2 linked regions of the Neodiprion lecontei genome follow. The protein of the gene in region 2 interacts with the protein of the main gene of each other region in a pairwise test. Links are inferred from orthologs where the notes say so. Each region holds a gene or a part of one and is shown on either strand. Other genes may lie near its edges. The genes, in order: glycogen synthase kinase-3 beta and axin.

Region 1 (6,491 bases), on a different chromosome or scaffold from region 2:
TTGTTGAAATTTAACCACTTTAATCTTTTTGTTGTTTTGTATTTTCGATATTTTTACGTTCGCAATCCTGGTTTTTATGATTTTTTTCACCCCCTCGCTGAGTAAACTCCGCTGAGTGAGTATATTTTAATTTTCGGAATAATATCTACTTTATCGAAATTTTGCTCTGACGGAACTTTACTTTTCGAAACATCGCTCTATCGTAACTTGAATTTTCGGAATTTTGCGTTCCAGAACTTTGAGCCGTCGCGTTTCCGACCATTCGAAACTTTGCTGTTTCGTCAAAGTTTGATTTCTTTTACTCAAGTTTCACCACCAAGTAATTCGGAATTAGGCGCTTTCGAAACTTTAACCCCACCCAAAATTTCAGACATTCCTAAGGGTCCGAAGTAACGTTACTAACTTGAATCTCATGAAATTTTGTTGCTGTAAAGTTGCGCAGAGTATACCTTATACGATGCAGCCGTGTAACTTTGGTGTAGTTATTAACCTCTAGACGGCCGGCAACGCCACAATAGTGGTGTTGCCATGATTCGAACATATCCGGGGAACATTGGGGGATCATTATATAGAAGTATCTCACCAAAGTAGGCATGTATCAACGAAAAAAAATCCCGGTCGCAAACAGGTTAATACAGGCAGGCAGTGTGTAGAAGTTGTTGTTCAAATTGTCCGAAACGCGTCTTTGGCGTCAATTACAAATTCCATTGTATACGCGAATAAAGCGAGCTCCATTTAATACTTCGTACAGTTGAGAAGAAATAAACACGCTGACCAATTAAAACCTCCAGAGTCTAATGACGATAATGGAATTCTCCGAGCACCACTCGCTAGACCATAACAGCGACAACGTCGTCATCTTCCCGATCAATTACGCTGCACGGTGCGCTCTGTAGATGCTGCCTCTTCATAACTTGCAAGATATTATGTTCATCAAGCATTTTACTCGCGTCTCAATTCCTATTCATTATGCGTGCCTTGTGTATAATCTCGTGTCTGAAACTCGCGGTTACGCCCTCGAGCATATCCGCCGAATCCTGCCTGCATCTATCCACGCGTCGTTTTCTCATTACATATACATATATATTAGAATATGTATGTATGTATGAATTATATATATATATATATAGGGAAAAACTGATGCAAGCATTGGAAATTGATTGGATATACTGGGGGTATAATGTAATAAGATAAGAATCAGGTGGGTTTCAATAATTCATTTTTTGTTCGTAAATATATATAATAGTGTGCGATTTTTCTCACGGTTAGCAAGTAAAAACTTTTTGGCGAGAGACGCGCCTTTCAAGTTTTTTCCACGCGCGGTCGTTAGCAGCGGATAATATGCCTGCGTACTGTAAATTTGGCATGTTAGATATAGTCGTGACGTGTGTACGTGCATGTTGTAAATTTTTTTTTCAAAGAATTGGAAAAAATCTATCACACAATACGCGATTCTGATTCCCGCCTTGCGGGATCCGAGAAGCGAGTTGTCGGGTACAACAGGCGTGCAATTATAGACACACACACGCATTCGTATACACGTACGTAATGCGGTCATTCGCGTTTTCTGCAAATTTCCTGCGCGGACTTTGCGTCGATCTTTGTTTCTTTGTCTCACCCCCGGATCGTACCGCAATCGTTGTTATTGCCAAGTGCGATTGTGTGTATGTGCGATTCTGCGAACGATTCTACGTACGTACGCGAATATACATAGTATGTGTATGCGGTATGGAAATGATGACGTATAAGGTGCCTTGTGTGCCTCGTGACGTAGGCGAAATATCGACGGTTGCCGACGATTTTCTCCATCCTTGCCAATTTCGTTGCGACGCGCTGCTTTCCCTATCCCCCGTGTATTTATAAATATAGAGAGCGACGTTTGCAGATATTTAACGATATATTGATTGTTATTATTAACTATCTTATTATTGTATTAACTGTAATCTGTGCTGTTGAATTATTAATTACACGAAGAGAGAAAGAGGGAGAGAGGGACCAGGAATTTAATTCATACATTCTCGCAAATTTCAAGACAATTTAATATATTTGTAATCCTTTTGATTTGAAAATTTTGTTTCTTTGTACGTATGGCATATAACGCAGTTTAAGTGCTGGGGAAAAATATTTCTCATATTACGTATATTTCGTATATTTCGTATATTTCGTCTGATCCACGGTCTCGTATTACAGGTTTTGTAATTTTTTGTTTTTCCATTCGTCGGCGACTCTTAATAGAAATTATACCGCAAGTAAAAATGAAATCATTATTACCCCAAAACCCTCCAAGAATCTGACCACTATCCACATGATAAAAAAAAACAAGGCTCTGTTTACACACTTCCCATTTTTGCTACACTTGATTATCGAATGTTTTTTCAACAAACTTTTCAACAATATTTACTATAGAATTGGATAGAAGAAAAAACAAAGCTGCTTGTGTTCGGTGAAACAAAGATTTTACCGACAGAGAGAATTTCCCTCCCAATTATTACGCACATACAGCTATGCCAATGCCACGTCGTGTTATTTGGAATTTTTCGAATCGCATGGTTTGTGCCTATTTTTATCTATGTACAATCATCGTACATGTACGCGGTATAGTAAACGTACGTTTAACACGAGTCGGTCTATTCTCCCCACTCGGTTCGGAAACGCCTCTCTTTCTCTCTGTTTCTCTCTCCTAAGCCAACCTCTTCCCTCATCGTCAGTCGCTATATCATCAGATCGGTGAACAGACGGCCGCGTACAGGTCGCCCCCAGAACTGACCTAAAAATGTGAACAGTTATTCAACCCGGCGACGACAGTTTCTTACTTTACTGCCTTTAAATCTGTGTATATTGCTCGGGGTATCGACCGTTCTCGCTGGTTTTTTTCTCACTTTTAGAAACATTCCCTCATTAATCTCCGCGCGATTAATCACTGACATGTGAACAAACGATGACAAAAGAAATTGGTGAAAAATTTGTGTTTTTCTTCAACCGCGAACCGCGTCGCTCGCATCATATTTGCAATGCGAAGGAAACATACGCGCTTAACATATTTTCGCTTATATTTTAATGATGAAATAATTTCACGCAACTGTATATAGGTATAGTTCGTATGTGAAGATTTGAAAAAGAAACGAAGAGTTGAGAGGATAAAAAGAAAGGAAGAATGGCGATAAGATTCTGTGTCCGTGAATGCTGTGTGCGTCGTTATCACGAGTAACATTCAAACGTGAAATGTAAAGTATCGCATTTCTTCTTCACAAGTGGATAATGTAATTTTAATCATCATTATTGTAATTTTCCGTTTTTATACATTACTCGTTTAAATGCCGTGACGTATGTAACTGAATCGTTCGTTCAGTGCCTGACTACAGTGTATTCCCGGACATCCATCGCGCTGTGCAGCGGTAGAAACAGGGATTTGCGTTACTGGTGAATTATTTATCGATCCCGGCTTCGCGCTACAGCGTTGAATAAAATTAATATATTGTTTGGATTTGGATATCGTATCGAGAGTGGTGTCGCATGTGTTATTAAACCTCGTCTCGCCTTCCAGTGCTCATCGTCGTCGTCGTCGTCGTGTCCAATAATAGCGTCGCAAGTGCACGGACCAAGTGTGTGAAATTAGAATAGCATATACAAATATGCGAAATCGAACGACTATTAACGCGGAGACTGTAATAAATGATAATATACTAAACTGATAAAAATCAACACTCCGGTATCGAAGGTGGAAAAATTATCACATCTAGTGTATTTGATTATAATATTTGGTCTTCTCTCTTTACATACGCGATTTAATCCAGCGGCGCCACGGCTCGTTTTTATTGCTGATATATTATACGGCAAATAAATATTTGAGCGTGTTTTACACGTAGTACGTTTTTTTTTGTTTTCAAATGAAACATCTCGAAAGTGGTGGAAACGTAAAAAGGAGAGAAGAAAAATCTTTATTTGCACCAACTGATATCGCTCATATTCTGCGTGCAGACCGCTAAAAATAGAGCCGACTCGCTGACAAAATATTTACCGCGAACAAACAATATTCGTCAAATGTTCACGGGGAAGTAAATTGAACTGTTGATGTATAACGGAGACGAAAAAAAAAATATACATACATTATAAAATAAAATCTTATACAGCCTCTTATACATCACTCACGTGTTGTTGCGTATAAACCATAGAGTGACGAGAAGTGGAAATCTTATTGATAAACTAAAACGGCGAATAATCAAATTTCAACAACTAATCCATAATTCAATATCTACTCGAGGTGAAGAATATTATTCAACTCTTTTCTCTCCGTAATACTATTCTTGCTTTTTAAAATCCTATAAAAATGTTCGTCAGTCTCGAAATATTGTGTTTACACATGTATAATAATTCGTGGTGGTTCCAGTGATATCACTCGGATATAAACGAAGATTTTACAGGCTTACGACGGTTAAGCCAAGACTTTGAGTCCGTAAGATTTAAGGATCGATTTGCATTTTTCTTTTTAAATTCGTGAATGAAATTCACCGTGTGTGTGTATACATATTTGTAACACGTGTAACCAAACCAGTTTATAACGAAGCGGAAATAGGAATATTGGCAAAATACCGTATAACCTTCCTTAAAACGTGAAATAATCCAGTACACTGAACGATATACTTGTACAAAGTTGTTAAAAAAAAAAATAAAACAAACAAATAAATGGCGCCCGCGAACACGTTGAATTGGTCAGAACCGCGCCAGGAATGGCGTTATCCAAAATTCTGTCTGTCGGGTCAAAGGGGCGATAAACCAGCGTCGAAAAGCACGTTGGAAGTCAACGAAAAGGAGGCCGACAGTGCCTACAAGAAGATTTGCAAATTTTTACGAAATCTCGGTGTTAAAAAACGTAAGTTTTTTTTTTCACGCTCTATATATAATGCGCTATAACGCGGGTGATCTTTTTCATCCATGAATAAATTATTATCATACTAGTTCGTGGAGTTGTTTCGAAGAAGATTATAAAATGAGAAAGAAATTCCGACGGAGCTTTGACCCTCGCTCGTGAATGTGAGTGAAACAAGCAAAATGGAGATTTGTTGTTGTCTGCTTTTGAAATATTTCGGTACATCTAGACGTGCCATTAATACATCAAACCACGTGTTCGCATCGCGTGCTTGATATATTTGTCTGTATTTTTGTCTCGCGAATACGAATTTTTATTGTGACGGATAAATTTTAAACCGATTATTGTGTATTATTGTAGACAAATAGTCATGGATGCGTATGAAATGAACAACTTGCACAGAGATGACAAGATGTCGTTACTCCAATATCGTTAATTGCTGCTTAATTTGCTAAAAAGTGCTCTCGTAACTCGCAAATGAATTCTTAACAAATTACGAATGTTGTGGATAATTTTTCATACGGTTGATCAAAGTTTTTTTTTTTTTTATCAAATCCCGAGTCTACACAATTATCGTGATGATTTCTATAACGGTCAAGTTAGAAAAACAAACTGCCAGCGCAAAGTGATCTGCTTAAAACTAGTCGACAAGCTTCCACGTTTACCCAAGTCAAAAATTATTGCTTTCATAAAAGTCAAAAGCCGAGAGCTACTTCGGTTGTAATTTTCTCCCCCTTTTTTTATGTTCTAAAGCTTACGTTTGACTTAAGGCTAGGTGAATCTTTGTGAAACGTAGCTGTTTGTCGTTGAAGTAGGTGTACTGTTCGAACTATATGCTTATAAATATACGCGTTGGCAAGCGAGACGTTTGCTTAACTTCAGCTCCTCGTACGATCTGAATATTCATTTGGTTTTATGCATTAATTTATTGTGCCGCGCCGTTCCTACGCAATAAGTACCCGCGAGTATTGTAACAACGTTACGTATACACCACGTATGTACCTAGATGCGAATCGTGATAGGTTTTTGCTATTAGAAGCAGGGCGAAACCGCATAACTCTCAGCAGGTGTTCGCTCGGATTACGTACATAGGAGAAAATAGCTCATCTACATACATATATATGTAATACATATAAGTATATATGTATCGTACAGCGGTTACGCGTGACAAATATGGCGGCTTCATTTATCGAGCATAATTAACCATTTCAATATCGTATGCTATGCTATTTACATGCTTATGCCGTGCATGATGTTTACGTGCAAGAGTTGTAAAATTTGTTGAAAACTCGTGTAACACAGGTAATAAGAAATAACTCTTTATACTTCTCTCTCTCCCTCTCTTTCTCTCTCCACCCCTCAAGGTTGGAATGAGCTACGCCAATTTGGCAGTGGCTACATTTTCTTGACCTCTTTTCTCTTTGTAAATTCAAATTTAGGTCAGAACGTAATTGTAATTGAGAACAGTCCTCTTGTATACGCCCACAATATGAATGAAAAAAAACCTGATCCTTTTAGAAAGGTCTCTGTACAGGTTTCAACCGATTGACAATGATTTCAAGTATCATTTTCATTATAATGAAGGATACAACCGAAGTCCTTGAAAATATCATGCGAATATCAA
Region 2 (6,612 bases):
ATGAAAATTCTTTCAAAATTCATGGGAATTCATTTCACATGACAAAGAAAAACGTTCCCTAAAAATTTGACAAACAATTTATCGATAACTTTTGGGCATTTTTACCGAATCTTATCTTATCATAAAGTATTCAATATTGTGGACGAGATTAATTTTTGGTTGTGAATGTACAGCCGGTACATCCTTAAGAGTTCCTAGTTTCATTTGTAGACTACATCTGACACAACTTGATCCGTCCTTTACATTCCAGTCAATCGCTCTATACGTGAATCCGACTTCAATGGTGAGTAATGAACTGTGAATTGTTTAACCCTTTAACCTATTAACCTTTTCTTTTTGTAGCTTTTTATTTATCGAACTACTTTTCTGCAAACAACTGCCAAGTTTTTTCGTTTCGCATGGTCCCTGAAATATTTCGAACTCTAAAAAAAAAATATCAAATTTATTTATTTGTTTATTGTAAAAATGGTCGAAATTTCTACTTTTCGATGAAAGAAAAGCATTTTCAATTAATCTGCCATGAAAATCCGATTGCCAATTTTTACACAAGCTTAATACACGCGAAAAAATTTTACAGAATTTTTTCAACATTTTTCTTGTTGTTTTTATTTGTGCGCCATATTGGGTCGGCCATTTTGAATTTCCGAAATTCGAGTTCAGATTCGTAATGAGTCACCCCAAAACTACGAAACATAAAGTTTTATCAAAATCAACTAACCTTTCGAATTTACGTTCTCCATATTGGATCCGCCATTTTGAATTTCCGAAATTCGCGTTCAAACTCGTAATGAGTGACCCGAAAAACCACGAAACATAAATTTTCGTCAAAATCAACTAACCTTTTGAATTTACGTCCGCCATATTGGATCCGTTATTTTGAACATTCAAATTTCGAGTTTAGACTCGTGATCAGCGCCCCCAAAAGTCCACGCAGGTATACTAAATTTCAAGCGAATCGCATGTAAGGAAAAATGTTTGCGTGAAATGGCTAAAGCTGCAACTTTTCGGCAAAGAAACAAACAATCAAATTTATTATTCTTCTCCACAGATACGTCGGGTGCCGATTGGACTCCGTTAAGTTCAATAAGTAAGTATATTCTTATTGTTTAGCTTAAAAAAAAAAAAAAAAGTAAGATTTGTTACCGGTGCAATTAGAGCAACTATTTATCAATTCCCAGAGGATTTTTCCTGCATGGAGGCTGACTACATGCACGATTCTACACAGGATTACGAATCAGACATAATGTCGTATCGTGAGTAATTATGCAGCTCTGCGGTATTCTTTTTACTAATTTTTACCAAGTAAACTAAAATTAACTTTATCGTAATCGGAATTTTTTCAAGCCAAGGAATAAAATGCCCTGACTCTGCGACGAGATTCTCGGTTTCGAGTGTCAGGCCTAATACTTTAGGCTAGAATAAGAATCCAGCAAACGTGTTTAACACCCGACTCCGATTACGTAAGATCGTATAGAATTACATAATTGCTTTGTTTCAGTCGAAAACAGAGCTGAGAGAAACCGACCAAACAGCATGGCGGAAGGTTATCATCTTCCGGGTAGCACCTACGGAAGAGCAGAAAATAGCGGTAAGCCATCAAACTACCCCGGTGAAAATGATTGCTACAATTTTCTACGAAATTTTTCCGGAAAATCGGGTCATTTCGTACGACATTGTGCAAAAAATTATTGTCGTACTTGTAAAAGCTTGTAGATTTTCATGAAACTATCTATTGTTTCAAAAAAAAACTCTACAAGCTGTTACGATTTTTAACGAAAATTAATAATTCTTTAAGAAAAATTATGCATGTTTACAATTTTTTTTTAAGATATAATACGAAGTGTTGAAATTTCTGTAAAAATTCGTAGTGGTAGAAATTTTTTTCTGCTTCGAGAACTAATGAAAAATGTTTTTCCGATTCAATAGATGATTACAAAATGTATACAAGTACACCGAAAAGGAATCAAAGAACAACCAGAGCAGAAGCCTTTGGTAATTAATGTTTTACTCGGAATTCGAATGTTGTTTGAAACGGATGAAGCATGAAAATGATGAAAATAAATTGTTTAGAAATGCCTGACGGGTCTAAAATGTTCAACGTAACGTTCGAAGAGTGCTTGAAATTCGGACGAAGATTGAGACACACCAGTGATGTCAGGGACAACGAGGGGTGTCAAATTATGCAATTGGATCGTAAAATTGATGAAAAGCCGAATGGAACAAGGCACAGAATCGACATTGCTAGGAGATGGCTTAATATGGACGACGACAACGGAAACGGGTTTTATTGAAAATTGTAAAACGTTGATAGAAAAAAAAAAAAACAATTCAATTATCAACAGTAGAACGTCTCTGTGACAAGGAACGTTTCACGATAATAATAAATCGCATGAATTTGTCCATTTACGTATATCCTTCTTTGTTCATTATATCACCAATTCCATCCGTATGTTGTGTATAAAAAACTAATGAGTTTCTATCACGATATAATTACTGATTTGGTTGCTTGATTAGAGGATTAGGACGAAATCGAAAATACAAATGTATATAGAAACTGAGTAGCAATGGTAAAAAAAACAAAGATGATCTGAAAACAGATGTCGTGTTAACAGCTTGGTATCGATGAAACAAATTTTTGTCTCCAAATTCTAAACTAACCAAATTCGAAATTGATGTAAATATTTTCCAGTCTTGAGATTATTAACCCAGGTTGAATAAACAAAAAGAAAAAAAAAAAAATCACCAAGACATTAAAACCAAGAATGAAGAGATCCGGATGTGGAAGTCAGGGAAAAAAGCACGGTAAATTAAAGGGACGGAATTGCATTGCAATTGATTATGGAACTTTGAGGATGATCGTATCAGAAAGTGGCGAATGTGATGTGTCGGAAATTGACTATTAAAATTTCAATGATATACCGTAATTTAGTTGACTGGAATTGCATTGTAGCTGGTGGTTCGTTCGGCATTGGTTATAACCTTGCATTTCTCTTTTCGAACTCTAAACCCGCGTTTAGAAGCATCGAAACCATGAACAATGATTTCCGTTACAGCCGTCACGATCACCCCCCAAAAAAGGGAAGATATTTTTTTATTTAACTTTTTCGGTGCGGTTTAATCCCAGGAGTTTTCCCTTCACTCTTCAATTTACAGCCAAAATGTCCGCCTGCGACGTAAACGAGGACGAATTGGAAGTGGACATGGAGGACTATCGTAAGTCAAGCCTTGTTGTATAATTGTTAGTGTAACTTTGCGGTACGTTTCGCTAATTAAATCACTCGAAGAGTAAATTTGAACAAATACCGTTCTTTAGTGATGAATATGACGTCTCTATCAACCGTTTCCAAAGGAAAGAGTTTTGGAATACCTCACGACACTACCCTGGATACATCGAAAATAACATCACGACCACTTATGGAAACGGTGGAAAAAGGTGATGTAATAAATTTCGTGTCCATGTGTTATAGTTGCTAACTAATCGGATCCGAGTTACTGGCTTGTTGACAAAGTCCAGTAATTCTACAGGTGCAAGACTGACGAGTGAAGTTCGTGCAGAGTAATATAAGTATTCGGTTTAGATAATAAACGTTGATGTAATTTCCAGAGATATCACCAGACGTTAAGCAATACAACACAAAAATAACGGAGGAAGATCCCTGCAGCGGAAAAAGGGCTGTGATGCATATGTCGCATGTTTTGAATAAGAAAACTGGAACGATTATCACTGTTCAAAGAACCGATTACACAGGTGGATGTCCTGTGAAAGACAAAAATTTGGGCTTTGCTGAAAGTACAAGACTTTCATCAAAACGTTAGAAGAAAATATGCACGGAGAATGAAAAATGAATAACGATAAAAATCGAAATTATGGGCATATAAATTTGGCATAATTTACTTGCCTGAATATTGTTAAACATCATAGGTCGCGTGATGAGAAAAATAATCATGGTATTTATGCTTTCGAATCGTCAAATTCGATACCTTAAAAAAATAATAAGACTCGTTTACCTTATTTTATAGACGTAGCCTCGCCTCATTTGAAACACCTTATTTCGATTCCAAGCTTGGCAATTAAGTCTTCGAGCCACGTTCGTTTTATTCGAGTCTCGAGGGCTGCGTAATAATTTTTTTTCTGAAAGATATAAAGAGAGAAATGTTAGGAAGGAAAAAGTAAAATCAGTTCAAAAATGGTGCATGGTAATCATGTCTCGCCTTACTGTAACGTCCGAGACTTTAATAAGTTTCTGTGCTGAGCACGAGGTGATCAAAAGATTAAAATGAAAGGTAATCGAAATTTCGGGTACTCGAAGTCGGGTTCGGGTCGGGTTTTTTGGCAAACCGGAAATCTTCGGGTAATCTAAAAACATCGGGTAATTTGAAAACTTCGGGTAATCCGAAATCTTCGAAAATCTCCGTTCACTTTAGAAATCCCGATATTTTTGGAGAAGCGAAAATAGATACGAGCAAAATTTTCGGAAAACCCAACATTCTTGAGGAACTCGAGATTCTCAGGTACACGACCCGAAAAATTTCAGTACCCGCACACCTCTAGTGACCATCATTGTGCAGCTGCAGCTGTCTCAAGGTACTTAATAAAAATACTTGCATCTGCAGAAGGGACAATGAGAACTGTAGAAGGACTTTTCCAGGTATAGCCGAACCGCGTTAAAATTTTTAGCCGCCAATTCAACGATCTTTGCGAGCTGCCGCTCAGGGTCAAGATAATGTGATTTCACACTTCCTACCAGGCAAGCGTTCTCATTGGTTTGCAAAGTTTAATCAACCAATCAGAATGCAATACGTTGTTCTTGTTTAATGTCAATTCTTTTAAAGAATTCGAAATTAGATGGCAACGGTGAAAACTTCTTAGGACAGAGGCAAAGCTCCTCGCGAACTGCGGCGCCAAAGAGATAAAAGATTGCTGACAGCACTAAATGGGAGCTAATTTCTGCATTCGTTACATATTTACACCAGATACCGGGATGATTTCGCATGTTTCTACGACGACTTGAATTATCCCAATTTGCGCAAGACTCCATAGGTGAGACATTAAATGATGAAAAATAAGCTGCGATGTAAAAAAAAATTAATATTAATAAAATGTAAATATCGACTTGCGAAAGTTCTCGTGTATGCTTCTTTCATATTCAATCTCCTCGTAAAAAAATTTATTTTCAGTTTCAGGTTATCCTCCATTGTCGAATAGTAATATTTCGCCATACACTTAATATTCGAAAATATTTACATTCAACAAGAATAAAGCATTGCATATTTTCATATAATTTCCAACTTTTCCCAAAGGTACCTGAACGCATACCTGGATGCGACGTCCTTTGTTCCCCCACCACCAAGAGGAAATTCTGTGTTCGCAACCTTTTTCAGGTCAAATTGGGCTCTCACTTCACCGTTATAATCGGCAATTATCACTACGAATTGTAGACGGAGGCCTCGACAAGGTCCGACATTTTACAATCGGGAGAGAAATTATAAAAATAACAAACTGATTATTTTCGATGAAAATTAATTATAAAATATTAATAACTTGCAATATCGTAATACGTCTGTTTTTAGAATTGCGTGGAGAGTGAAAACATGAAGAGAAGAAAAAAAAATTGTCGGTAACGAGATTCCATACAGAGCTGGCGATAATTAAGTTTACCGTTAATTTGAAAAGTACAACGTATACGAGTACGCACAAATTTTCCTCGTTCGATTTTCTCGGAATTGTCTCGCGCCTTACTATTTACAGTGAAGTTTGTGTCGAATACAAACAAAATCTTTATACGTCACACAATAATTATGCCTTGCCTAAACTATAATGTACTATCTGATTGCTGGATGTTATTACACACATTTTTTACGCACGTGTATATTAAATATGGTAGGCATGCAGAATAATATAGCACTCGATTCTACTCTGGGAAATATGCGCTTTGCGTTGTGAAACGTGATAATTGTTAGAAAAAACTTGTCACACGTACATACATATATACATGCATACATACTGGGGTGAGCCAAAAAAGCTAACCTATCCAATCTTTGGTCTTAAAAGGACCTATTTACCGAGAAAAAAATTGAAATAAAAAAAAAAAAAGTACAACCGGATACGTTATATTTAGTCAGTTGATTATAATTTCATTCCCTCCCAGAGGGGTCGCAGAAAATGGCATGAAGTACTAAAAAATTTGGGAAAACTTCTGTTTTTGGAAATATATATTGCGAAGAAGAAGCGATTACCCATACGGGAAAACAAATTCCAATGCAATTTACAGTTCAACGAGGAGCTGCCGAACGTTAGATGTACCAGAATTGGACAAACTCCCGGGATTAATACCTAACTACAATTATGTTTCAATACTTACGAATAAACGATCGACTATCAAAGATCGGTATTGCGTTATCAAACATTCACAAGTTTGAACTCAAAAATAGTATTACTAAGTGTTTAAATAAAATGCTAGAAAATGATGAGATGATCAAAAATTCTTTAACTTCGAGGAATCGAATCTCTATGAATACGCGGAAGATATAATCTCCGATAGTCGTAATCGGATTCCTAGATGTCAAAAATACGTGAAACATATGTTGTCAAAATTCACCTGACTTACCCAA

The links.
Region 1: the proteins of axin (region 2) and glycogen synthase kinase-3 beta interact in a two-hybrid assay, tested with the Drosophila melanogaster proteins (2 studies listed by BioGRID, with this or other methods). The link is inferred for Neodiprion lecontei from reciprocal best matches to the Drosophila melanogaster genes Axn and sgg.

What each region holds. Positions count from the first base shown.
Region 1 is NC_060265.1:25,391,387-25,397,877, forward strand, and holds the start of glycogen synthase kinase-3 beta, read left to right. Parts: upstream 1-2,709; 5' UTR 2,710-4,683; coding exon 4,684-4,870; intron 4,871-6,491.
Region 2 is NC_060261.1:3,713,695-3,720,306, forward strand, and holds the start of axin, read right to left. Parts: upstream 4,122-6,612; 5' UTR 4,009-4,121; intron 2,371-4,008; exon of another isoform or gene 2,292-2,370; coding exon of another isoform or gene 2,071-2,291; intron 1,993-2,070; coding exon of another isoform or gene 1,927-1,992; intron 1,589-1,926; coding exon of another isoform or gene 1,499-1,588; intron 1,254-1,498; coding exon of another isoform or gene 1,193-1,253; exon of another isoform or gene 1,179-1,192; intron 1,088-1,178; exon of another isoform or gene 1,049-1,087; intron 284-1,048; exon of another isoform or gene 251-283; intron 1-250. Other genes in the region: uncharacterized protein LOC124292941, read left to right, coding at 1,193-1,253, 1,499-1,588, 1,927-1,992, 2,071-2,291.